Kluyveromyces lactis: one gene and its partners. The protein of the gene in region 6 binds, or shares a complex with, the protein of the main gene of each other region. Links are inferred from orthologs where the notes say so. Each region holds a gene or a part of one and is shown on either strand. Other genes may lie near its edges. The genes, in order: NUP120, NIC96, NPR3, NUP82, MTC5, SEH1 and NUP2.

What was found.
Region 1: SEH1 (region 6) and NUP120 share a complex: the UniProt entries of both Saccharomyces cerevisiae proteins name them as parts of the nuclear pore complex. The link is inferred for Kluyveromyces lactis from reciprocal best matches to the Saccharomyces cerevisiae genes SEH1 and NUP120.
Region 2: SEH1 (region 6) and NIC96 share a complex: the UniProt entries of both Saccharomyces cerevisiae proteins name them as parts of the nuclear pore complex. The link is inferred for Kluyveromyces lactis from reciprocal best matches to the Saccharomyces cerevisiae genes SEH1 and NIC96.
Region 3: SEH1 (region 6) and NPR3 share a complex: the UniProt entries of both Saccharomyces cerevisiae proteins name them as parts of the SEA complex. The link is inferred for Kluyveromyces lactis from reciprocal best matches to the Saccharomyces cerevisiae genes SEH1 and NPR3.
Region 4: SEH1 (region 6) and NUP82 share a complex: the UniProt entries of both Saccharomyces cerevisiae proteins name them as parts of the nuclear pore complex. The link is inferred for Kluyveromyces lactis from reciprocal best matches to the Saccharomyces cerevisiae genes SEH1 and NUP82.
Region 5: SEH1 (region 6) and MTC5 share a complex: the UniProt entries of both Saccharomyces cerevisiae proteins name them as parts of the SEA complex. The link is inferred for Kluyveromyces lactis from reciprocal best matches to the Saccharomyces cerevisiae genes SEH1 and MTC5.
Region 7: SEH1 (region 6) and NUP2 share a complex: the UniProt entries of both Saccharomyces cerevisiae proteins name them as parts of the nuclear pore complex. The link is inferred for Kluyveromyces lactis from reciprocal best matches to the Saccharomyces cerevisiae genes SEH1 and NUP2.

The regions. Positions count from the first base shown.
Region 1 is NC_006039.1:1,080,501-1,084,787, forward strand, and holds the start of NUP120 (Nup120p), read left to right. Parts: upstream 1-1,487; coding exon 1,488-4,287. Other genes in the region: FAR8 (Far8p), read left to right, coding at 1-1,103. UniProt on the Saccharomyces cerevisiae protein: Functions as a component of the nuclear pore complex (NPC).
Region 2 is NC_006041.1:1,253,996-1,258,085, forward strand, and holds NIC96 (linker nucleoporin NIC96), read right to left. Parts: upstream 2,801-4,090; coding exon 218-2,800; downstream 1-217. Other genes in the region: PDH1 (putative 2-methylcitrate dehydratase), read right to left, coding at 3,309-4,090. UniProt on the Saccharomyces cerevisiae protein: Functions as a component of the nuclear pore complex (NPC).
Region 3 is NC_006042.1:1,680,034-1,684,136, forward strand, and holds NPR3 (Npr3p), read right to left. Parts: upstream 2,801-4,103; coding exon 266-2,800; downstream 1-265. Other genes in the region: KLLA0_F18260g (zinc-dependent alcohol dehydrogenase), read right to left, coding at 3,384-4,103. UniProt on the Saccharomyces cerevisiae protein: Component of the SEA complex which coats the vacuolar membrane and is involved in intracellular trafficking, autophagy, response to nitrogen starvation, and amino acid biogenesis. Mediates inactivation of the TORC1 complex in response to amino acid starvation.
Region 4 is NC_006042.1:156,109-160,137, forward strand, and holds NUP82 (linker nucleoporin NUP82), read right to left. Parts: upstream 2,565-4,029; coding exon 501-2,564; downstream 1-500. Other genes in the region: SDH8 (Sdh8p), read left to right, coding at 1-354; MRPL37 (mitochondrial 54S ribosomal protein mL54), read right to left, coding at 2,859-3,155; mannose-ethanolamine phosphotransferase LAS21, read right to left, coding at 3,361-4,029. UniProt on the Saccharomyces cerevisiae protein: Functions as a component of the nuclear pore complex (NPC).
Region 5 is NC_006042.1:1,825,475-1,829,627, reverse strand, and holds the start of MTC5 (Mtc5p), read right to left. Parts: upstream 2,801-4,153; coding exon 1-2,800. Other genes in the region: ARO1 (pentafunctional protein ARO1p), read right to left, coding at 3,060-4,153. UniProt on the Saccharomyces cerevisiae protein: Component of the SEA complex which coats the vacuolar membrane and is involved in intracellular trafficking, autophagy, response to nitrogen starvation, and amino acid biogenesis. May be involved in telomere capping.
Region 6 is NC_006042.1:649,975-652,705, reverse strand, and holds SEH1 (Seh1p), read left to right. Parts: upstream 1-1,196; coding exon 1,197-2,231; downstream 2,232-2,731. Other genes in the region: ALG7 (UDP-N-acetylglucosamine--dolichyl-phosphate N-acetylglucosaminephosphotransferase), read right to left, coding at 1-905. UniProt on the Saccharomyces cerevisiae protein: Functions as a component of the nuclear pore complex (NPC).
Region 7 is NC_006038.1:545,774-549,647, reverse strand, and holds NUP2 (nucleoporin NUP2), read left to right. Parts: upstream 1-1,388; coding exon 1,389-3,374; downstream 3,375-3,874. Other genes in the region: SGD1 (Sgd1p), read right to left, coding at 3,474-3,874. UniProt on the Saccharomyces cerevisiae protein: Functions as a component of the nuclear pore complex (NPC).

The DNA of each region.
Region 1 (4,287 bases), on a different chromosome or scaffold from region 6:
ATGTCCCAAATATCACTCTAAACAGGGATTGGAAAGATGTCATAAATTCACCCCCAGGAGATGACGTTTCTGATGCCGAAACTGTAATAAACACAAGGCGATCAAGATCATCGTCCTTGTTCTCAACACAATCCAATGAGATGCTCAAATTCCATACTTATCGTTTCTTACAGTATCATTTATCTTCAATTAGCAAATTGAAGCTTCTCGGAAACAACATGCTATCTTTTGGCTCAGATGGTTTACTAAAGCACTGGCTCATTGAACCTAGTTTGAACTCTAATGAAAAGGCAACCAAGGCGTTTCACTGTGTGCCTAACCTCTTGGGTATTTTTTGGTTGAATAAAACAAGGTTTATGACTGTGGATGAAACTTCCGTCAAGTTGTGGAACGTAAGCCAGAGCGACCCTGTCATATCTTGGGATGGCCTCAAGGATTTAGAAGGCTTACAATCTGTAGATTTCAAAAATAAATGGCTAATTTTGACTTTCGTTAACGAGATACGGGTCTGGGAAATTAAAATCGATGACTCCAGTATCGTTAAGGTTAATGAATTCGTCATTTCAGTCCCCAATAAGATTCTCAATTGTTTGTTGGGATTAACGGAAAAATCGCTTATAATATTAAATGGTAGTTCAAAACAAAACGTAAAGATTTCTATCTTCGACTTTCAAGGCTCCCTTTTACAACAAATCGATCTTTCTCATTCGCTGACCCAATTCCATCACACAAATAATGAATTAGCATTGAACAGGTCGACATCAAAATTGCTTGTGAGATTCGATACAGAAACTCTGATTTACTCTTTCGATCAGAAGAAGACCATTTTAGTGTCTTCTACCGCAGAATCTGCTATTTCCTCGATTTTCCTCAATGATTTGGAGTACACTGTCACCGCTTTGAAGGATGGTTCAATACTCGTGAAGTCAATCAAAGAAGATGGTAAAGTAATTAGAAAATACAATCATTATGAACACCCTGAGAAGGTTCCCGCTGAAGTGCAACCAATTGCCATTGCATCCACAGTCATAGATGATACCCCTGTAATCGTTTCTGGTGGCTATAACGGTGTGATACGACTAGAAAAAATTATGAGCTTATGAACGCAATGCTATAGTAATCAAAGCTGCCGCTATAATTCAAAGAGAAATATAGGAAAATAATCTATAATGCTCATGTAAAACAGTACAAGACGAACGTCATCGTCTATAGACATGGTATCCCCAGAGTACCTATATAATCCTCCTCACAACATGGAAATTATTGCCCAAGCGACCTTAAAATTCAGTTATAAGTTACCCGGATAATATTGTTTTCATGGTTACAACAACAATGAGAAAAGACATGTTGAAATCAATCTGACATGAAGTGGAATCGGTAAACAGAAGAGAACAGCCACCAGAGAACTTCAATTACAGGCTAAATCGGAACATAAACCTACAACATTACTATTGAACAGCTGAGAGGTAAAGCTGAAACTGCGAAAAATGACCAGCTTTTCTCGTCTGAATACAAATTTACTACAATTAAAATCGAAGCACTCATCAGACAATGCCCAACATTTATACGTCAATGGGAATGTTGGATCATCTACAGAAGAAATAACTTCCGTAGAGTACAGCAAACTGTTGCAACTAAAATTAATTGATGAATCGTTGTCCTTCCAATGGTGTAATAATTACACTGTTTTGAGTATTTACTCCATGAAGGAAACTTTTGCAAGGAAAACCATATATATCCACTTTCCAAAACCTCTTCTGAACAAATGGTTTACTGCAGTCGTATACGAATCTAGTGAAACGACCTCCAACCTATGTTTTGATGTGATTTTAAAGGATGGAATTTTCATCAACCTTTCATTGCCTATCGATTTTATTCTATCGAGAACTCGTCAAAATGAGTATCCTGAGAATTGGTTGAAGGTTTTAAACCCGTATGATTTCTCAGTACGTCCTCCACAGTGTCTATTTCATGTTGATAACACCTTCAGTGTAGTATTTCTAAAAGATGGTGGTCTTTTGGGGTTAAAACGTATTCCGCTCGAAATATTAAACGATTTTGAATTGCAACCTGTCCTATTCAATGATAGTTCATACTTTCAAAGTTTTACAAGAATGTTTTCAAAGTACGATAACCACAACTCTGCAGTGGTATCTGCAGAACTTTTGAATGACAAGTATCTTGTCACATTAACGAATGATGCAACCATTAAAATCTGGGATTTAACCACATATCAACTAAATGCGCATTTCGATCTAAAAGAGAAAAACCAGCAGGTGAATTATGGAGCTGCCGGAAAATACATGATAATTTGTGGATCTCTCCTGTTTGTATACCTACCTGCAGGTAATGGATCGTTCCAAGTCATTCAATTAGAAAATACGCATTCTTCAAGAATCTCCTTCAAACCATTAAACGTTAATATACCTCTCAATCTTTCATCTTATTCAATATGGTCTTTAATTGACATTCAATTAGTAAAATCCTCAATTGTCAAACAATCGGGACTCAACTTGGTTTTATTATGGAAAAGTAACACAGTGACCAAGCTACAACTACTCTCCTTCGAAGACTCTCTGTATAGTAGCTACAAATGGATTGATGGTAACAGCACATACCTCTCTGATTTGCTTGATGACTCAGACCTAATAACAAACGGAAATATGGAAAAGGCTCTCCTCAATCTCAAGTCACACTACTCACAATCAACGTACGATGACGCACAAAAGATACTGAATAAAAATAATGTCATGGTGCAGATAAATGATCCTCATAATCAAGATTATTTGAATAATCTAGAAGCTCTTTTGAAAGAACTTCATAAACAATATCAGGAGCCTTCAACTCTAACTATTCTTGATGATGAGATAATTGTTGTTAACAGCTTACACATGTATCATCATTCCACGTATAAGTTAGACTCACAACTTGAAACAATTTTCTTTAACATTTTTGAGAGAAAGGAACCCTCGTCTCAACTAGAGCTTTTCTTAAATATCCTGCATGGTTTTTCAACAACCATTACATCTGAAACGTTAAATAAGATATCTGAGAAGTTCTTAGACATGGTAAATGGTTCAATAAATCCCTCGTTATCATTGAAAAATAAAATTACCATTGTCTTTCAAGATTGTCTAACAAATGGTTTCCAAAGTGCTAATTTATCAAAATTGTTGGAAAATCTAAATTCTATTGATGTGGTGGAGGTTTTATCCGAATTTATACACTGTGATTTGAAAGTAGGTGCTTTTTCAGTTATTGATTTATTAGATACTGACATTTTCTTATCTGTTTTGTCTATGGAATCCTTGAAGCAGACACTCTCCATTATGGATAAGTTTATCATTGATATATTGTTAGTATTCACTATTGTGGATATCAACTATGAAGTTTTTGCAGAGAAGTTGTCTAAGTTAATTACCTTGCACTTCAATATCTCATTGTGGCTCCAAGTGTATCAAATAGATAAATTATTGGCAATTTCTGAGACCTTCGGTCATGTTACTAAATACAATTATGGTGCACAATTGAAATCTTACAGCGATATAACCGACTTTACTACATTAATGGTTGGTTTTGTCAAGAATTCTCCAACAGCTGAACCTCCAATATTTACAAGAGCCTTTTCCGATTTCATATTGAACGGCGAAGATTTGACTTGTGCAAAGCAATTCCTACACTTTGTTGCTAAGCCTTACCATGTGTCCAAGGATCCAGTAGAAGAACTACTATATGCTCTTTCTTTGTTCAAATGCAATGAATATGATGCATCTATTGAAATATTCTTGGCAAATGACTTCTCTGATGAGCTCTCACTACCTAAATATCTGGAGGTTACTGAAAATCACGTTTGGTACAATCTCCTTCATGCGATCAATACAAAAGATAAACCAGCATACTATTATGAACTTTCAGTTCTATGTTCCAAAGCTTCATCGTATGCTAATGCTTTAAAAACCATCAAAAAATCTATATCACTTGATGGTACAAGAGCAGATCAGTTGATACAATACTTAGATACATTGATAGTATTTGGCGATTATAAAGAAGTCCTGGATGTATTGAGGTTGGAACAAAAAGTCCTTGATATAAGCCTAAGAGAAAAATACTATTATACACTGCTGAGTGATCAAAAGTACAGTGAAATGTTCACTGCAACTTTACTCCAAGAATGCTACAATGCAAACATTTCCAACGGATCCATACTATTATGTGTGAGTGATTATAAAATTATAGCTTCAATTTTATCATCACAAGTTTCTCTCACTGATTGGAACAGCTATAAAA
Region 2 (4,090 bases), on a different chromosome or scaffold from region 6:
TTCTTGTACATTTCGTTGCATCTTCTACTCACTACAACAATGCACTGCTGAAAAGGTAATTGGCAGTTCAAATGTATATATATACATATGCATATATAATCTATCAGGCAATTATATCGAATAACAATCGACTTACACATGGTTATTTTATTGTATGCTATTATGGTAGGACGTCTGGGTTCTGACATAACTCAGGTGCTCATAAATGAGAGCTCTGCTACAAACCAACTTCTATATTGATTAATATGCTGTAAGTTTCTCTTGGCATTTTGTATTGAATCATACCAGCATAAATCATACAATTTTTAGCAACACGTTTGAGAGAATCGATTTGCTGCTTTTTAGTCAAAGATTGGTAATCACTTTCGTTCAACTGCTTTATGATGTTAGAAATGCATAGCATTGTAATTATCAACAGGTTAGGTATGTTCTTTAATATATTCTCATCCAAATGTGTAAATTCTTGTGCTCTTTTTCTGGTCGAGCTTTCATCCGTGAACGGAATTAAATCGAGATCTTCAATCTGTTGTAGGGTGTTTTGCCATTGGCGTGCTAGGAATGATGCTCTTATATCAGCTAGTTTCAACAAGACAATACATGTTTCTTTGTTTCTTGCCTGAACCTTTTTAGAGATTTCGATGTTGTTGATGTACACTTCGATTAACTTCTTTGCCATTAAGACGTAATTCGTTTCGCTGTTGTCATTCAACCTAAAGAGGGATTGATTGAGGTCAGTGCTACTTAGAAGTTCTCCCAATAACTTGTTGATAATGGACATAACAATGTCATATTCTTCTGATAACTGGTACAACAACAAACTATCATGAATTCTTCTTTCTTCATCAGCCCTACGAGCAGCCTGTTCGGTAATCTTATACAAAAAGTCCTTCTGGTCCTCAAGCTGTAATAATGGGCGTCTTTCTTCAACTACACCGGGGATCCTAATTCCTTCAGAGTTGATCTTTCCGAGAAGTATGGTGAACTCTTTAGTTTCCAAGATCAATTCCCTGAGTGCCTCATACGCCCATTCAATCTGCTCTTTCTCATTCACTAGTGCGATGAGAATTAGATATTCGACAGCTATTCTTGGATCAGAGTACTTGAACGACTTTGTGTAATTTCCTAATACCTTAACAAAGTTTATCCTTGTTTGGCCATCATTCACGGAGATCAACTCATCCTTTTTATAAGATGACACATGTAACATGCCATTTGCCGCTAGACCAATTGCCAAGTGAACAGCATCGATTTCATTTATTTTGTATGAGTACTGTACTGCTAGTTCATATTGTCCGCTTAACAAAAGGGCCTGTAGATAATAGTTTTTAAACATGTACTCACCGTAAGAGACAACAGTATGTTGGAAATCGCTGAGGGTATACCTTTCATATACTGGATCATCCATATCCATATCATCTTTGATTAACATCAAGTGAATCCATAACCAATCTTCCACGCTTAGAGTAATAGAAGAGATATTCTTCCTTGTCAAATCACATCTGCCAATAATTTTGTAGACCGCCAAACGGAACGGATCGCTGTCCAAAGTGTTTTTGATATGCTGGTTATATTCTGTATGCAACCTTGAGACAAATTCCTGTGGAAGACGATGATCAGGAGACGTTACATAAGCTTTGAAGTATGTTAGGAAAGATTGCTCCACTTTTTTGAAACTCAATTTGTTGTTAACAACTACTTCTAGCGCGTCCTGCGGTAAACCAGCCCTTAGCAAATAAAAAATCAAGGCCCATACGGGAATTCCATTCACAATCGTAAGATTGTTAAATTTCCAAGTATTTTCACCAGTCTTCAGTTTGAGGTCAATAAATGCTCTAATTTTGTTAACATTGGTCGGTAAACCTTCGCTTGGATTCTTTGAATACAAATTGTCAACATAGCTCAAGAACTGGTTTTCTAGGTATTTTTTGGAAAACTCAACAATATTTGGGGATTGATTTGTTGCATTATCTATAATCTCCCAACCGTCAAGTAGCTGTCTATACTTCGAGTCGGTCGTATTCTGAAAGATGGCAATGAACTCTTTGGTTAATTGAAAATCGTCATTATGTGATTGTCTTGAATTGTTAAACCTGTAAATAATTTTGGCATATTTCTCAAACTTTTCTCTAAGGATGTGATTTCCATTGACATTTGAATTTAAATCACCATCCAAGATACCACTACCAGGTGGTTTCCCCCAAAATATTGGACCGTTGGGATCCAAAGGAGCCAAATTAGTCGTATCGTAGTTAGAACTATCCTGACGTTTCTTGACTAGGATCCCAAAGCTTTCTCTTACTTCATCTTTCCTTTGCTTCCAATCTAGGTTGAAGTTCTGATTAATGAAATTATCAAAATCCTTCGCTGCTAAAGACAATGATTGTTCAATGGAGGAAAGGATATTCTCATCCTTCTTAATATGTAAATAAGTGTCCAAATCACCATCGTTATAGCCTTGTGCAACCCGTTGTTCGGTTAACAACTCTGATGACTTAAGATTCTTCAAGGAACTCTCAATTTCGTGAAATTCAAGTCCACTTCCTGCTAAGAGATAATGAGCTTTTGTATGATTGGAATCGTGAGGAATTGTCTTACGCATCTCCTGTGCCCTCTTTTTCATCTCATTGACACTCAATAAGATAGCTCCAAGGTCAGATGAAGTAGAAGGTAAGTTCTTTGACGTTTCTAAAAGCTCATTGAATAATTTCGATGAGCTCTTAGACGTGGAGCCACTAGTCTTTGCATCGTTTTGAAATGCAGATAGCATTGTATCACTGCTGATTTGACTGTTGATATTCATAGTTCCACGATTGTGTGGATTTTACAATTCCAAAATCTGAACGGGTTAAAGATAATTTGATGCGATGGATAGCAACAATGTGTATTGATTTTCAAAGTATCTTCAATGAATTATTTCCATCATCTATTCAACGTATTGATAGTTTACATTTTCTTTTATTGTTTTCTGTCTAATTTTTTTTAACTACAATGTTTTGCACCGTTACCCGAACATGTGACGGGACAAAAAAATGGACAGCCAGAAATTGATCATGACAGTAATTAATATTAAAACATAAGTATGTATGTATTAACTCAAGAGAAAATAAGTTAATTATATATTGTAATCTGGAATTGATGATTGCCAGAATCTTTTGATTCCTGTGGTCAGTTTTTGTAGAATAGAAAATGTTGTTTTGGTTACCATTGAAATGTAGGTTTTACTTCGTTTAGTTCAAAAAAAGAGTTGAATGAAATGAAAAATTGATTGTGGTCGTTATACGTTGATGATGCTGTGCGAAGGACAAAGCTTAATCGCAGTACATGTTGACATATTCATCAACAGTTAAGTTTAAGAAACCGTCATCTGTACTTGCTTCCATTAAAGCTTCCACCTTTTCAATATCGCCGGCGAAATGTTCACGCAAATGGTGGTAGAATTTCTGCATCAATAGTGGGACACCTTCCTTTCTTCTTAGTCTGTGACCGATTGGATATTCTACGACCACTTCATCTAAGACAGTCCCATCATTCAATTCTACTAACAAAGCGTTTGGGATTGATCTCTTTGATGGATCATGATAATCCAAAGTGAATTGGTCATCTTTAGTACAATACATCTTAGCTCTCAATTCGTCAATTTCAGGGTTGCTTGCTACTTCATCACTGTAATCGTCAGCCGTTAGTCTACCGTAAATTAATGGAATAGCAGTCATGTATTGAATACAATGATCTCTGTCAGCATAATTGTACAATGGACCCTCCTTGTCAATAATTCTCACAGCGGCTTCTTGAGTTCTAATTCTGACCTTTTTAATGTCTTTGTAAGTTTTGCCCAACTCTGCCAACTGTTTATTCACCTTAATAGCTGCTTCCACTGCCGTTTGAGCATGGAATTCTGCTGGGAACGATATCTTGAAAAGAACGTTTTCCATCACATAAGAACCGAAAGTGTCCCTTTGCTGGAAGGTGAATGGTTTACCTTTGAAAAGAACGTCATAAAAACCCCATGTCTTAGCGGTTAGTACGGAAGGAATTGTACCTGGACTTCCATTCTTCACCAAATATGCAATGTTGACAGCTCTTGCCACTG
Region 3 (4,103 bases), about 1.0 Mb from region 6:
AATAAACTTAAGATATCATCTTAAACTTTACATGCATGGCATATATATATAGATATGTTTTCTGTTCGAGCTTCTCCGGAATTACAAACTGTTATGGTTACAACATGCAAAACAAAAAATATAAAACACAGTGAATTGATTAGTTATGACATAAAGTTATGCAACTCCAAAAATGGCTTATTATATAGTACTTAATTATTATGCATTGACAAAATCCTGTGCGTAGAATCGATTAGAAGAATAACAATGTAAGGGGATAGGGCATTTACCAGTGTTTTACTTCAACGATGTACTTACCTAAGGCCTGAAGCAATCTTTTTATCTCATTTTTAGGAATACCTTCCTTAATCATAATGTACTCCAAAGAAACCTTCCCATTAAAGTATTTCACCACTTGTCTAAATAGCGTTTGAAGATCAGTAGGTAATGCCTCAGCACATTTGTACAACCATCTCTTTTCTAATGCAGTATTACGTTCTGGTTCAAGAATTATAGTGAAATCATTATCGTTGATCATCTCCAAATCATCAAACTCACTGGAGTTATAATTTTCACCTCCAGTAACAAAATTACCGGACTTTTCGTGTTTGTTCGATCTTAAGTTATCCTTTTCTAGATCCTCATCGACAGCTATTTTAATGCGCTTGTCCACACGTACATACACAAACGTCAATAATTGAGTGAGGTATCCGTACCTCATGAGCCATGCCAGGGCATTCAAATACATAGATTTATGTTCATTGGATGGTATGATATGCCCGAAAGGTCTGGGTTTCTGGGTTGACATAAGTTGAAGGAACGATGGCAAAGAAGGTAAGGAGGGAAATTTTTCATTGAATACCTTCTTGTTTTGGTATATCAACGACGGTTCATCGTTGTTATTCACAGGAACTTCTTGTTGTCTTATTAAGGTGTCGTATTCGCCATGTTTGAAGTCATCAGTTGAAAATCCTGAGATTGGCGCCAATGGAGAAACTATATATGTGTTTCTCGATGATATTGGCAGTATCAAACGGGCGTGACGCCAGTATATTAAATGTAGACATAACGACTTTAAAGTAGTTTCACAGAATTGATCATCATATGAGGAATCATTAGAATCGATTAGCTCTTTAATTAATAATTTATATTGACCAAGCCTTATAGTGGGCTTCAACTGTCTTACAAGGTTGATCAAAAGTAAATCAGTAACGCCGTTATCAAAGGAAGCGTTTTCAAGCCCTTTTATAATATTTTCAGGTTCATCGAGCAAAAGCAATCCATAATCTAGAAGCCTGTCGTGGTTGGCATACAAATTATCTGAATCTTCGTTTGTCAAGCTAGTGCTTCTACCAATAAAACTTTCGTTTAGTATTGAGGATAAGAAAGATCCACGAAGAACAGCATCTTCTTTTAAATTTGGAAGAATGGAAAATTCATTTTTGATTGGAATCTGCAAGGAAACAATTTTATCACCATCAATTTCAAGATTAGCAATTTCATTGTTATGGATGCAATTGAAACATTTTGTTAACGCTCTAGCTAGTGACGATTCGTAAAGAATTCTTTCATACATATATTTTCCTTTAGACCAGGGAGATTTTAAAGACTCATAATATCGAGAGTGTTTAGAAACTTCGTCCTTACACTTCATAATTTTCACGCATTCCCTAGTGACATAACCGGTTTTTCCTTGTATGTACCTTAAAATCAATGATAATCTAGTCACCACGTAATGATACATATCATCGACTCTTTCATTATATTCTATGATCTTTGGGTTCATGATGAAGCAGACCTGGAACATGTTTATACTCTGCTGCAAACTTTCGAATTCATCATTTTCCGCATCAGGCACACAGTACATTTCATTAAGCATTTCTGATTTGGATGGTTCATAATCACTATTCTCATCATCTGCAGGTTCTTCAACATCATTAATGTGTCCTTGACTCTCTGTTTTAGATCTGTTTCGACCAATACTATTTCGACCAACACTATTTCTACTAATACTGTTTCGTGCAGTGCTACTTCTAGCCGAACGTTTGGAAGCTTGCTTTCTCTTCTTTGATTTCTTCCATCTTCCTTTGTGATCCGCGTGAATTGGCAACCCTAAGAAACATAAGTCATCCACAGTGAATTCAAATCTGGTGTTACACATCTCCTTTCTTGGAGAACAGAGTTCAGCTACAAATTCTGTATTGAAATTTAGTACTTTTGAGATATCCTGAAATGTATCCTGCTGAAATATTGAACCATCTAGCAAATCGTCTACCAAGATTTTCAACTCTTCATCTACTGCATCCAATTCATCTTCTGGTCTCGGATCAGTCGTACTAGACATATTAGTCGATGTTCTAATCGAGTGCAACGATTCCCTCAACGAGTTTTCGCCATTGATTGCAACATTGTTATTATTCTGATTTAGCACTTGAAAGAGTTTATTCGCACTAATCTGAGATTGACGAGATCGTAGACCATTATTGATAAATGTATTGTTTGTACTGCTGTTTACAGTATCCTCATGATTTGATTGTGGAAGGGAGTCTAACGATGATTCTGATGCATCAGATGAACAATCTGCATAGTCAGTCGACAACTCGCTATCACTCAAACCTGAAGAGTAGTCATCTGAAGACGAATTGTTTTCAGAGTCCGTATACTCGTATCTTTTCTTGATATCTGGGTGATGCGTCTTCTTCGAATTGGTCGCAGTAGCATAGTTGCTTGGTGGATAATGATAAATTAATTGTGGACCCGAATGAGTTGAAACAGTTAATGCGATTTGTACTAAGCAGGAATTCGGTAAATTCGTGGACATTGAGCTATTCCTATCTCTTGGAGCTTCATAGACTGCTGAACTCTTAGATTGAGGGAAAGATTCTTTCGAATTAGCAGTTATACCCCAGTACTTTTGTATATTAGGTGTTTTATCAGTTAATCAAGTAAAATGACTATCGTATTTTCATATTTTTCATGTGTAGATATTTCTATAATAATAAGGGAAACTATATATGACTGGAGAGACAGCACAAGTAGACACTACGAAATCTCCTTTGGTTTGTTAATATCGGGGTGTCGTATATGCTTAAGTTTTTGGAACAGTAAAACTCAAACGTTGCTGAATGTATTTGAGGGCTTTTAATTTGTCGTGTGGTGTATGTTCCTGCAGTTTTAACTTTCAAAATTAGATAAGAACAAACAGAGATTAAAATATTGTCTGCTAAGAAAGTAGGATCGCGTAATCGATACTAGAACATCTCAAAAGGTCCTGATGTTACTACTATTATTCTTGAAAGTTTCATTAAACGTAAAATATAGTGCTATTGAAATCAATTATGTATGAAGGGATTCAGAGCGAGAGAAGAAAACCGGATTCATTATCGAACCATATTGAAGTAAAATTATTTTGAGGTGTCGACAACGTATCTACCAACGATTTCACCCTTGACCATCTTGTCATAAACATCTGCCAATTCAGATAATCCGACTATCTTAATTGGAGCATGCACTAAACCTCTTGCGAAGAAATCTAGAGCTTCTCTGGTGTCAGCTCTGTTACCGACGTAAGAACCAACAATGGAGACCGATTTGACAACTTGTGTAAAGACATCAGACTTACATTTGGCGTCCCTTGGTAGACCGACCAATACAACGGTACCGTTTGATCTAACGTAATTGGTGGATTGTTCTATAGCAAATTCGGAGACAGAGACGTTAATGACACCGTGGGCACCACCGTTAGTAGCGTCAACAATTTCTTTAATCAAATCCTTAGAGACGGCATAATCGACGAAGTATTCACCACCTAGCTCCTTGAACAACTTAGCCTTTTCAGCACCGGTATCAATACCCAAGACTCTGTAACCCATAGCCTTGGCGTATTGGATAGCCAAAGAACCTAGACCACCACAGGCACCGGAAATGGCAACCCAGTCACCGGCCTTCAAGTCAGCAGATTTTAGAGCCTTGTAAACGGTAACACCGGCACATAGAATTGGAGCAACTTCAGCCAAATCGGTACCCTTTGGAATTCTAGCAGCTTGAACGGCATCAGCGGTAGCATATTGTTGGAAAGAACCATCGTGGGTGTAACCAGACAAGTCAGCATCGGGACAGTTGGA
Region 4 (4,029 bases), about 490 kb from region 6:
CTAAGACCAGCCTTTGTCAGGTTGAATCAAATTAGAACATTTCAAGAAAGAAGAGCAGGTCCACCACCATTACCAAAGGAAGACCAGGAAGAGTTTGAAAGGCTGCAGAAGCTAGCGTCTTCTCAAGAAGCTATTGATTCTTATAATGCACAGTTTGAATCGGATCATACTATGGAATCGGTGAAATCGCCAATCTTGAAGAACGATATTGGTGGGTTTTCTCCAGAATTTATGAAGACTATACCAGAGTTCGAAGGCGAAAAGAATCCTAAAACAGGAGAAATTGGTGGACCAAAGCAGGATCCATTAAGGCATGGTGATTATTCTTTCAACGGAAGAGTCACCGATTTTTGAGCGCCATTCACACGTTAAAACAAAATTCGGTTAGTAGCATATTCACATAATGAAATGATATAAAAAGTAGCACATAATATAGTAAGGTATATGCCAGTTTTAAAACTAAAAACGAAAAAAAAAAGATATGTAGATGGTGATTGCTATTATACCGCTAGATCTTCAATGGATGCGCTTAACTCATTCATACAAGAATTGATGACCTTTTTGTCGTTCAGTAACATTTGTTGTAGGGAACTAAATTCTAGCTCGGAAAAGAAATCGTCTCCTTTAGTAGTTGATCTAAGCTGTGTGTCCAAAAACTCTAGTTCTTCGCGAAGTTTGTTTGTCAGATGTACATAGTTATTGAACTTTAATACCTGGTTTTTGATACTTTTGAACCACACTAGTTCGGCCTCGCTGATACTGCTTGTTCTTAATTTCTCGTTATTTTCTATACTGGAGAATGTCTCTTTTAACTTGTCAAGTCGTTTTTCCAACGTCTTGGACTTTTCCTCATACCTGGAATATCTTTCTTGGAGGTCTCCCAAGTTTCCGTTAAGTTTATTTCTCAACATTTCGATCTCGTTGGTTTTTCTTAATTGGCGATGGAGTTCAGCCACTTCTTCGTTGGATTTGTTGAACATTCTAAATAAAATCATCTGTCCCAACTTGACGCGCTTCATGGTTTCCTTGTAAAGTTCAGAAACCACTTCCAATTGACGTTCATTGGAATTGTTCTTCAAAGGGAGAGGAGCCAAAGAGTCCGGTATGCCTGAAATGAATCCATTGGCTTCTGTTTTATACTTCGTCAAAAGCATATCCAATTCCTTTCCAGACGTTGGCAACGATGGTTTATATGTATATTTCACTTCATCGGTTCTGTTTATGGGTTTCTGTGTGGTGCTCTTGTCGTTACTCTCGATGACCTTGAAGGAATTGCCGTTGTAAAGAATATCACCAGACAAGGTAGATAAAACACCGAGGAAAGTTCCTGAAACTGTTCTTATTTTATTTTCAAACTTAACATCATCAATGATAGAGAAGTCATGAAGCCTTATGCACTGTGCCAATGGTTCCAACCATGGCATTTCCATGATAGTCGTGGAGCTATCACCAGTAAATACTAATTTAGGTTCCGAGGAGTTTAGTAGTTGGCATTGACCTTTTGCATTGAACATTGTTATTACACTAAGGTTATTGAATGTAGTATTGGAGCGTAAACTCCAACTCATGACAATTTCAGAATCGGAGAACAACACAACGTTTGTTCCATCTATAAATTGAAGATTCAAAAGGCCCAAACGTTCTCCAACCGGTATGATTGTCAAGCCTGTGACCTCTTTCGCATTCAAAGCTGTCGGAAATTTTTTTATAATGAACGGGCCCTGTGGTACAGAGTTCCTGATTGCTTTGCTCGTGAATGTGTCTATACCATCATTTTTTTTATAGTTGTCGAAAAATTGAATTTGTTTCAATAGATCATGCTTTAAGGTGAGGTAATCGGATTCCACATCAGGATCTGAACCTGATATCAGCTTTAGCTGTTTATCGAGGCTATTGTATAAAGACAATGATTTGTGCAACATGTAATCCGCTAAAGAACCATTTTTCGTCCTTGATGTGACATTTGATGTATCATTACTGCGTAGGGAAAAATTCTTTGGTAGACACGGATGGATAGCATATATGTCACAGTAATTGAAGGAGCTCAGCAGATAAAGTGTCAAACCGGTTGGATCAAATGCAATGTCACAAACTGATTCCACATGGTCTGATAACCCAAATGATCTCGATTTACGATTGAAAACAGTGATAGATTCGGGTTCTAGGTCTTCAAGATCATAAATTCGAATTGTACTATCATCATGCAAAATAACGAAAGATAACCCATAAGTAGCCAGAGGATGCCATAATAGTTTTTTTATCCCTAGACTGGTATTGAAATGCTTTCTTAATCTAGATTGCTCATTCACTTCCATGACATAGAGCTCGCTGTTCGCATGAAATGCTACAAGGCCCCCCGACGGACTGATGACCATTTGTTCTGGAACGAATGGAAGCTCCACATTATAACTCCTGTATTGCGTTTCGTGGTCTGATTGCACTCTTAAGATGTTGTCCTGCCATAAATAAATAGTGTTGGAATTGTTGCAGACAAGACGGTCGGAAGGGTTCAGAGACACTTCCTGGAAGATTGCCTTCAAATCTTCTGTATTGAAGAGTAACATCCCACTATATTGGTTCAATATCCGGCAGTTAAAGTTATGGAAGAGAAGGTACCACAGTTAGATCGCCAGTTGATCTGTGTTACGTGTATTTCAAGAAGCGTGAGAGTAGTTCATCGTCGATATATTTTGAATATTTTGAACTTTAATAGTAAAAAAAAAAAAATACCTATAGCAGATCCAGTATTGCAGAAAAGGAAGTGTACGAAAGATATCAAAAAGTTATGTTAGATATGTGTCTTTATGTCATTTTTATATGTATATATATTTACAGGCGTGAATCATACTGTGGGTCCGTTAAATCTTTGCTAAGAAGTTATTTTGTTTGATGTTGGCACGGTTGGCTATCCTTAATTGTTTTTTTCTTAGCTTGATTGGATCAGCTGCTAGTTTTTCAGCTTGGACGTTGGCATCAAGCACTGTCCAGAGCCATTCAGGGTATTCGCTGTCTTCTAATGCCACGGGTTCCTTACCGGATTTCTTGATTTGTAAGTTCAATGGAGTGCCAGCTGGACATGATGACACGATCTTGGCAGCTTGGCCAGATGCCTCGCTTTTCACTTGGTTAAATAGCACGCGAGTCACTCTCAACATTTCTCTCTTTATATAATATGAAAAATAACCGATTTGTTATGGTGGGTATGTGGTTGCCGATACCAATTCGAACCTCAACAATAAGTTTTGGCAAGTTTGTCCTGCCTTGCGGCTATCAAAGTTCATGATCATTTACAGTCCAATTTGAATTTCTATGGTACAAAATGTTGATTTTATCGAAATTTTTCATTCAAAAACTAAGAATTCACAAAACGCCAAGCAGGGTAATGGCGAAATCCATGACGACATTATAGAGGGACCAGGCCGCGTAGTAGCATAGTTTCGGGCTAAACACGGACCAAATGAATAGGTGGTACCTTAGTGCAATGCACGCTATCATTAGACATGTTCCGGTGATATAGTAATGCTGCAAGCGTAGTGTCTTCTGTTTGTAGCTTTGAGGAATTAGTGAGAGAGCCCAGTAGATGGATGGTGCGTAGTTAGACAAGAACATTAATACACCAACAACGTATATGTTATAGTTGCTACTAACACCATTGTATGCATTAGTTAGATTGACAGTTGCAATGGAGTTCGTACCACCAAATTGGAAAAAAGTGAGGTTTTGTAGACATAATGAGAAAATTGGTGTGATGTCCGGTGTGACGCTAGTCAGTATTTCAAATATTAGAAACAATGGGATATTTGCAGATGAAGTTTGGAGCAACAAGACGAATTTTATAACACTCAGTAGTTTGTTTAACATATTGGTGCTTTTATTCAAGGCGTATTTCATGAAAAGAAGGATTATAATAGATACACCACATATTTGGAAGAAAATCCGAGCGATAGGCACTAAACATTGTGAAATATCTGATTCTGTAGCATTTTCATTAGCTAGATACATGGCGCATGATCTAAGTGCGAATGTGTA
Region 5 (4,153 bases), about 1.2 Mb from region 6:
CTTGATTGGTGCCATATCTCATTCTCGCATTTTGTGTACCTGTGTCATTAGAGTAGAACGATCCGTGAGTGGAATGAACATGTGGCGATGGCTCGTATTCATTGTTATAAAATGTAATGATGTTTTCTGATAAAGTAGGCGGAACTAGTTTATAATTTGTTTTCTGATCTGGCCTTCCAAGCGTAGCAAAGATGCAGCTCATCATTGCAAGCATTTGAAGATTTTGGCACTTCTCAAAATACTCGAATAGTCTTTTCACTAAAAGTTTACCACCCAATGAATGCTGGTCCCAATCATAATTGTAGAAATCGTTATCTCCTCTTCCTATTAAAACATTAGAAATCATTCTCCAGCATTGCGCGATATCTTCATAGCCGTAACTTTCCGCAATGCCTGCATTGTACTTCGCAACAAATTCAGGAGTTTCCCGAAATAAAATATACTGTTCAGCTAGCTCTTTTTTGTCGGGAATCAAACTTTTAAAATCTTGAACGACTATAGATGACTTGCTTTTTTTATTTGAATCGGTGGTTTTTCCGGATACACTCGTAGTAGATTTCGTCTCATCACGGAATATGCGTGGCATCATTGGCATCCTAGTCCTTAGTGTGAGATCATTTTTCAATATATCATCCAAGAACTCAGCATAGCTATCATCACTATCATCTGAATCCGAATCTGATGATTGATTTAGTGATTCACTGGCATGTTGTGAGTTTATGGATAGCGCTTCTCTATAAGTTTTTGGCTTTCTTTGTTTTCCCGATACGTTATCCTTCAAAGTTTGTGACGCACTCTGGACATTTTTTGATCTCACAAAACCTCCAATACCAGTTCTACCAACATTGATTATGGCGTGTTGCTTTTTTTCAGTTTTATTCTCAGCTCTAAAGAAGCAAACAAGGGTTCCTTGAGCGGTCCAAACTGCTCCACAACCGTTGGGGACAGGTGTGCTATCAAATTTTGGTTCTGGTGTACTAGAATACAATTGCAAAGAACCATCCCCGACAGCGAATTCAACATCTGATACAGAAGAAATCTCTGTAGGAGCATCGCTATGATCATCAGATGAACCCAAAGATGATCTATCTAAAGAAGTTACATCTTCGAAATCAAAGCTGAAAATTTTATTGTCGTCCTCCATGTCGGAAATATCCAAGTTAACTTCTTCTCCAAGTAGGTACTGTAAACACGGCTCAAGGCAATATCGATTTGCATCGACATATTTTTTGCTGATTTCTCTTAGTCGTTCCATTATCTGAGTTTTTTGATGTTCTTTTAATTCCCTGTTCTCTTCAATCTTGAACGCAGGTTCATTTCCTTTCATGGGGTAGTTTGGCGGGAAGTTAATAATAATACGCATGAAAATGTATTTTTCTGGATCTTCTTCCACCCATGGACCATTTAAAGTAATAATTAACTCTCCTGTCGAAACCGAAATTTTTTCAAAAACAATTCTAGGGAACTTGTGCCCAACGGAAGTGACTTCTTCTCCAAGATTGTTTAAACTCACCTCTTCAAATAGATCATGCGGTGAATCTTCGTTATGCATTCTCACACCCGAAATCCATTGTAGTTGATCTATATTGTTGTCAGCTTTCCATTGGCGTAGTCCGGATTTTGTAACAAAGGTTTCCTTCGGAATTTCTATATTTGTGTACCGGGGATCTACTATATTATTTTCAGGTTCTGATCTAAAAGTGTCGTAATCATAATCTGGTAGCTTCTCCGGCAGCTCTTTGCCACATTCGTAGTGAACTTTGTCGTAAACCATATCGGGTACTGGCCATAGTCTTAAATCGCAATCTTTGGACCAAGTAACCAATTGGAATTCTCTGTCATCAATGATGGTATTTTGACTGTGCCTCGATCTCCATAAGAAGTCCGTGACTCTATCTGTATGCCCCTTGAAAACGTACGTTGGCTGTAGTTTGGTAGTCCTTGACTCAGAATTGCCTGAGTCATGAAAAGAGTTCGCCAAATATACAGAATTATTTCCTCCTATCATCGGCATGATGCAATATCCGTCCCCAAACGGGAGATATCGTCCTCTCCACACAGGAAACTCTGTGGTAATTGTCATCTGTAGTTCATCTTCAACTTTATTATAATCCCAGAACTTTACCGTTCCGTCATTCCCACTTGACATGATTTCGGTTTCGTTGAATGGATTGAAGTCGATGCTATTAACGCTTCCGCTATGACCTTCTAATACAGATAACGGAGATGTACCCTTTCTTACATCCCAAACATACACGATATTCGAGTGCGAGGTTGCTAATACATTGGAATTTTTGTGATTCCATTTGACTTGTGCAGCACCAGATCTCCAGTTACTGGTTCTAAAATAAGGCTTCTTGGGGCTTCTCATATCCCAAGCCAGGGCGTAAGTATCAATTGAACTAGTAGCTAGGATTTCTGGTTGCAACGGGTGGAAATTTATATCTGTAATGGCTCTGAAATGGCCATGTAATACATGCTCCACTGCTTTAGAAGAGCTTCTAGATAGATTCCATACAATTGCTTTTTGATTCGACGTAGATATAACCCAGTGATGCTTGGCCGGATGCGGGCACCACTGCACGTCAGCAACCTCCCAAGACGTGAGATGGTGTAACCATCGAGGCTCTGAGAAAGGATCATCCAAGTCTACCACATAAAGGCCCTTTCGACTGGCTAATACGACATCTCTACCAGATGGATTGATAGAAACAGCATTAAATCCACCATCAACCCGAAGAGAAAGTGATTTCCCGAAGGTTGGTGATGAGTAAGGACCTTCCCCTACGTATTCAGACATTCAATCTCAAAGTGTGGCTTATATCGAAACCTCTAAAAAACACGAACCTTACTAGAATTCAATATACGAATGATGTTTCCTATTGAATTGTGCTTTGTTTCATTATATATTCATGATTCATTTTTTCCTATCAACAGTTAATAATGCTTTAAGGAATATTAACAAATAGTGGATTAGACATACATAAAAAGGGGAGTTAGAAAGCTATTATTAATCATTCGTGACGTTATTTGAAGTTTAAATGTATCTAATGTTTTATCTATTCTTGGGTAACTGCATCAAAGATAGCTTTAAATGGTGGTTTTGCACCTGTCCATTTAGAAAATTGTTCCACACCTTGATGAACCAACATTTCAGCGCCCGGAACGATATTCCAGTTGAACTTATCACGTGCGAGCTTCATGATAGGGGTCACTGAAGGCTTATATGCGGCATCTAACAAGGTTGGTTTGAAGGAGCTATTTGTACCTTTTGCCAAAAGTCTTTCCAATTTGTTTAGTAACTCTGGATCTAAAGGCTTATCAGCTGGAACACAAGAAACAGCAACAGAAACTTGTTCCTTAATTGACTCTGTTTGTTCGGCAGATTCGACGACAACAATCTTATATTCTTCGGAAAATTCGGATTTCAGCTTTTGTAGTTTCTCCGTGGTTCTGTTGAGCATATAAATGGTGTCACAACCAATTTGTTTCAAAGCGTATATAGCAGCTCTTGAAGTACCACCAGCACCGATAATCAGACCTGCAGAACCACTAACAGAACTAGGAACACCATTTGAAACCAAAGAGTTTTTGATACCTAACCAATCAGTATTGTCACCCCTGAATTTGTTCTTTCCTAAAGGAATAACAGTGTTTACAGCGCCAATGGTCTTTGCGGCTTCGCTCAATTCAAACATACTATCAATAATATCTAGTTTTAATGGGATGGTTACAGCTAAGCCACCGAGATCTTCTCTGGTCAAAAGTTCTTTCTTAACTACTTCGATATCTTCAGTTTCGAATTTATCAAAATGATGAGGTAAGCCTAGTAGCTCATACCCAGTGTTGTGCAAGATCGGAGATCTGGAATGTCCAATTGGAGAACCAATAACAAAGAACTTCTTGGCTGGTAATCCACCGATTTGGTGATACAATTGGTTGATTTCAGCTAGTGTCAATTGACCAGGGGCAGCGGCGGATGGTAGTAACTTGGAGGTAACAGGTGTCAAAATATTATTTAGCACCCTGGATAGCTTACCTGTTTCAGTCATATTGATAGCAATTAGTGGCTTCAAAGTATGAGTGGACCTGAATTTTTCCAAAGCCAAATTGTCATCGAAGCTTACTGCTGTGCCAACGAACTTCACAATGT
Region 6 (2,731 bases):
CCAAGAATACCGACTACAGCGAAAACCATACCAGCGAAGTAACAGTAAGTATCACCGACAAATACTTTTGCAGGCCAGCGGTTCCATTTGAACAATGCTAGTGAGACTCCGAGGAATGGGACGATCAATAAAAGTGAGAATAGGTGTGATTCACGAGCATGTCCGTTCACACCCATAGTTAAATACAACACATCATTAATCATAAATATTAGGCCTAGGACAATGCTCTGCCCAACTTCAAGTCCATTGACACCAGCCAATATATTAATTGAATTTGGACAGAAAATGGCGACCGAAGCCATATAGCAGTAATAGAAAGCGCCTAAATCAATGGATGTCTTGCTTGTACCAATTAACTCTTGTACAAACTTAGGGATCAAAACATGGGTAACGCTAAAATCAACATAGTAGACTACAAGTAATGGAATCGCAGCAATTGCTGGTAGGAAGAATTTATGTCTCCAGCGAAGATCAAACAAATCGTCAGCAGCACCTAGTAATATCGTGGATTCAAGACATAAAAGTGCACTTAAAAATTCACTTAACTTACTATGTGGGAATAGCTGTTCCTCCGTCGATTCTTGAGAAACCAGATCTCTATTTCCACCTCCAGAGGTTATCACCAAATATTTGTAAAACATGAAAGGAATCGAAAAGAACATGATAAACAAATACACTGTAGCAGATACAGATCCAATTGTTTCTGGAATCACTGGCCTACCAGGTTTACTCATATCTTTGCCAAATAAACCAATCTTGATGAAGGAATCACCTACTTGTGGGATCAATACATCAACTGCCACGTAGCCAATTACAGAAAACCCTACTGCAGATCCGATAGGAGATACATCTTTAAAATATACAATTATTGCAATAGCAAACAGTAGCAAAAAATAAGAAAGCATGGTTCATTCCCTGAGCTGGTACTGGCTATATATAAAGCTTCAGTAAGCACTTTTTTAGCTTAGCATTTAAAATGCCAAGCGCTTTCTTAAATTATTGTGTTTTGATTTTCGATATATATGAATCCTTTAAACATTGAACTTCGAACTTTTCGAAAACGAAAGCTAAAAGTTGCATGATAGAGGGAAAGAGAGTTGAGCTGAGTTGAGAGATATCTACACTTCACGGCTTTGAAGGTTGAAGTTATTCTATCGACCAATCTAGTGGTAAATCCGATAAAATCTTTTATCATCATGAAACCGTTTTTGACAGGACACTCAGACCTAGTGCACGATATTAGTTATGACTTTTACGGTCGTCGAGTCGCAACATGTTCCAGCGACCAACATATCAAGGTGTTCAAGCTAGACAAGGAAACGAATGAGTGGGAATTGAGCGAAAGTTGGAAGGCTCACGATAGCAGTATTGTGTCTCTTGATTGGGCCGCACCAGAATTTGGTCGTATCATCGCGAGTGTCTCATACGATAAGACTATCAAACTATGGGAGGAGGATCCAGATGCCCTTGAGTTATCCGGAAAGCGTTGGCAAAAACTTTGTACGTTGAACGATGCGACAGGACCGTTGTTCAGCGTAAAATTTGCTCCATCGCATTTGGGACTAAGGCTAGCTGCATTGGGGAATGATGGTAAGTTACGTCTTTATGATGCGTTAGAGTCTTCCGATCTTAGGTCATGGACCCTGACAAGCGAGATTACCGTCTTAAATACTCCACCTGCATCACATCTACAATCGGATTTTTGTCTGTCCTGGTGTCCCTCCAGATTTTCAACAGAAAGATTAGTTATCAGTGCCATGGATCAGGCAACTATCTACCAAAGAAACAAACAGGGAAAATTGGTCCCAGCAGGACATTTGAAGGGTCACACTGGATTAATCAGATCCATTGCGTGGGCACCATCAGTGGGCAGGTGGTACCAATTGATCGCTACGGGCTGCAAAGATGGGAAATTAAGAATATTCAAAGTAACCGAATCGCGTAACAACGGTACGAATATTATAAACGAAGAAAACGATAACAATGCAAACATAGAACGTGATGGCCCACCCATTGACAGCTCCGCCATTGATGCAGATGGATCAGTGGCTAACCTTCACGTCGAGCTGATCAGCGAACATTCAGACCATCAGGGCGAGGTATGGTCCGTATCTTGGAATCTCACAGGTACAATCCTAAGTAGTACCGGAGATGATGGTAAGATTCGGTTATGGAAAGCATCTTACTCGAACGAGTTCAGGTGTATGAGTGTGGTACAAGCGGCAAGGTGATTTATGTATATATCCCTTCATAATGTGATGTTAAAATGTATGTAATTATTGACCACGTGACCAGATATCATCAAGGGTTCGAGATTCAATCTAAACACTGACAAATAGAAACCTTATAGCTAAAAGGTACGCCACATTGGTGGTTTAAAGCCGTCTTCTCACCTGCTTGGAGTTTATCATGTACCGATCAATTCTAAGTTCTAAGCCCCAAATTGCACACATCCAGCCGTTGCTTTGTAATCACATGAAATACATTGCATCAGAAACGAACATTTCCGCATGCTTTGACACATAGCAATAAACACTGACAGTTTACTAATCTATAAATCTTATAGGATGCAGATATACCCGGTGTCATCATAAAATCTTATATGATATACCTACAGTACTGTTATAACGCCGTTACCAGAATGTACAGTTCTTCATCGTCCGGCCGATAAATCTGTCGTTCCGTTGCTGTTCCTGATTGTTGGTTCCGTTCCTTAGCACTTCTGCTTTCT
Region 7 (3,874 bases), on a different chromosome or scaffold from region 6:
TTGTCAATTTGAATGAATCCTTACTTTCCAGCAAATTCACCCAAATTATAGAATCTGGTTTCCTAAGAAATATTTGCTGGCAGTTCCATTGGGCTATATCACCAAATAACAAAAAGCTGCATTATTCAGTACACTTTTAATCCTGATGCCATAGTACGATGATCAATACAATGTTGGAGAGAAAATTATCAATCCGTCCACAAAATATCTCTGGTAAATGTTGTTTCAGTATAACTGGTGTTGTTTCATTTGTCATCACTATCAATAAATTAACATTAGAACCTCTTCCTGATTCATATATCTATCTTATTCTTGTATAATCCTCGATATCAGACCTCGTGCTGGTTTTATTTTGTTATCTCTTTCATCGTAATCCCAAAAGTGCTATTCCAAATAAGTAACCACTGCTAGTACACGGCACATACGTTCAAATTCCCTTAGCTGGTTTCTTCTTGAATGAACTCAAAAGTAAATAACCCTATAATAATCAAGGTGCTACTTTAAACAACTTGTTAATATCTCTAAGTTGCAATTCAATGTAAATCAAAAAATGAATATTCAATCCGAAGTGAGTTTGTCCAGGACGCAAAGTATTCCTCTTCCTACCGGAGAAGCAGAGAAAGTGAAGCAGGATAACGAGGATTGCGACAAATGGACTCATTTTGGAAAGGAGATAATTTCCTCTTTAGGAAGGAAATAACGCATGAGAAAATATACAAAGTTCAACTTTCGGATATATAACGTGGTGTCTGGATCCAACAAAACAGTCCCGTAATACAACATTAAAAATAAGAGCGCTATAAAACAGATGTTTCATCTGATAGATTAGCAAGTTTTACACCAACAAGTCCTACATGGTGTTACGGCCATCGTACTTGCCACCTGCGTCAACTAATGAGGTAAGAAATCATTGCACGTGTGTCGGTTATAACGGTGGCTATTGCAAATAATCCCTGAAAGCATAACAACGTTTTATATTCCGATATAGTGTAACGGCTATCACACCACGCTCTCACCGTGGAGACCCGGGTTCGACTCCCGGTATCGGAGGAGAAAGCGATTCGAAAGTTTCGCTAAATACTTTTTACATTTTTACTCCCCTGAGCAACCCATCACAAGCAGAATAACATGTAGTCACGTGTTCAGCATAAGTCATCCCACACGAGTCAACAGTATATTGAAGGATTTAGAATTTCGAGCTGCTTTATTATTATTTCTGGTGTTAGTATCATCAATTCTCATGTTGATGTCTGAATGCTTACACATCAGCAATCCTTAAACTCCTTTTCTGCTACTTCCGGTTGCTTCCCGTTAGTTCAATTCGTTTCTGATTAAGAAAGTGACTTCTCTTGAGCTGATCTTTCCAAGCACAATACTCACTGTAGGATATGTCAAAGAGATTTGCGGGTTCTCAGATGACCAGAGAAGGTCTTGAGAACGGACATAGTAATAATGTTTCAGATGACGAGACTCCATTTGATAAACCTGCCGTTGCCAGCGAATCTGTAATGAGTACCAGAAAAATTGCAATGCCAAAGAGGAAAATGGGAGGATTTACTGCGGGTGATAAACCTAACATGTTCAAAGTGATAAAGGATGACAAGAAACCTCAAGGCACTGACTTAAACGAAAAACTCACGGCATTGAACGTGCAATTCAAAAATAAAATAAATTCTACATTGGAATCAGATCCAGTTGCTGATATTTCTTTCCTGTTCGATAAATACAAGACCTATTCGCAACAGTTAAGGTCAGAAGCGAAAACTAATGGCGCTGCAAACGCTCCTCCAACTAGCTCATTCACATTTGGTACCACATCAGCAAATGTGGAGAAACCTAAAAATCCATTTGCATTCGCAAAGCCTAGCGCAGCACCATCATTTGCTCTACCTTCGGAGGTGACTAAACCGACAACGACCGTAACGGAAGAGAGACTGCAAGATAAAAAAGAACAAATTGAGATTAACAGCGATAGTGATTCTGAAGAGGAAAAACCAGCCGTTAATGTTGAAGGCCCAAAGTTTGTCTTGGCTAAGAAACCAACGACGTCTGATCCGCCTTTCAGCTTCGGTGGGAATAAGCGTAAGGAACCTGACAGCGATAGCGACAGCGAGATAGAGATCAAGGGACCCCAATTTACGTTTAATGGGACTGTATCGTCCAGTGCCTTTACTTTACCAAAGAATGATGCTTCAAGGACAGAGGAATCTGAACCAGCTGAAAAACCAACGGATAACAAGCCAGCTAGTATATTTGGGAACTCTTCACAATCTAAACCAACATTCCCTCCTTCTGCGTCCGCACCATCCATAGAGAAAAATGAGGGAAGCAAACCAGCTCTTCCTGCCTTTGGGTCAAATAAGGCTGATAATGGTAATTCATCATCTCCGTTCTCATTTTCTTTCAGCAACAATAAAGATTTGGCCAAAGAAAGTGAAAATAAAAAGGAAGAAGCAAAGCCAGCTAGCACCTTCGGTACATTCTCTGCCCCTGCTCCATCGGCGGACTCTAAACCATCGTTTAGCTTCTCTGCTCCAGTGCAAAGGACAGCAACTGAAAACAAAGATTCATCAAAGCCTTCCTTTACATTTGGAGCTATGGGCAAGGAAAACAGTAATGATGAAGCTAAAAAGCCTTCTTTCACATTCGGTACCTCAACAACCTCTGAAAAACCGGCTGAGTCATCTAAACCTTCATTTACATTTGGTAAAGCTTCAACAGGCTCCACTCCTTTCACTTTTGGAAAACAGGAGACCGACAAAAAAGATGAGAAAAAACCTACGTTTACGTTTGGGGCAACAGCAGCATCAACTGTACCAGCATTCAGTTTTGGTGCCAACAAATCTGAAGAGGCGCCTCCACAAGGTGAATCATCTGGCTTCAAGATCTCTTTACCCTTTGCCTCATCTGCTCCAACATCTGATAAGGATACTGCCAAGGAAGTTAGTGAAAAAAACAGCGAAGACGCATCTGCTGAGGCACAAGAAGAGCCATCTAAAACTTTGAATCTATCGAACGGTGAGGAGAATGAGAATCTACTCTTTTCGCAACGCGCCAAGCTAATGATTTTCAATACTGAGACGAAAGCCTATGATTCCCGTGGTGTAGGTGAATTGAAGGTTTTGCAAAACAAGGAAGACAATACAAAAGCAAGAATACTTTGTAGGTCAGACGGTATGGGTCATATTTTGCTAAATACTAGTATTATAAAGTCATTTTCCTATGAAGCATTAGATCCAAATAATGAGAATTTGGTTAAGTGTCCTGCAATTAAAGCGGAAGGAGGGTTAGACACATACGTCGTAAAAGTGAAACAAAAGGCTGATGGTAGAAAATTAGTACAAGCGATCAAGGATGCTCAATCACCGATGTAAAATTAAGTACATTTAACTGTTAATTAATAGAACTATTTGAACTTAGTTCATATATGCATGTGTAACTATTAAAATGGCAAAAAAAAGTACTTAAAATAGTCAATCTTCAGCACCTTTGAGCTCCTCTTCTATCAGTTTTTTGAAAGATGCAACTGCCCAAGACAGTCTTCTACTTTCTCTATCATGTTCTTTTGAGCCTTTCATACCTGAAATATACTTGATATAATCAAAATGCTTAGATATAAACCATCTTAGCGCTTTTAAAATAACATTCTTATTCTGAATGTTAATACCTTTCTCGATCAAAGAAGACAAACCATCAGAGTTATACTCAAATGTTTTCTTTCCATCTCGTTTGATCTTTATTTCGGCTGCCTTACCTTCGGAAAGGAACAACTGGAAAAGCAAAATATCAAAGAAGATTATTCCATCTGAGTTGAGTCCTGCCATTAACGGAACATGCTTGAAAGCATCAAGTTTCAAGTGACCTTCTGCTATTA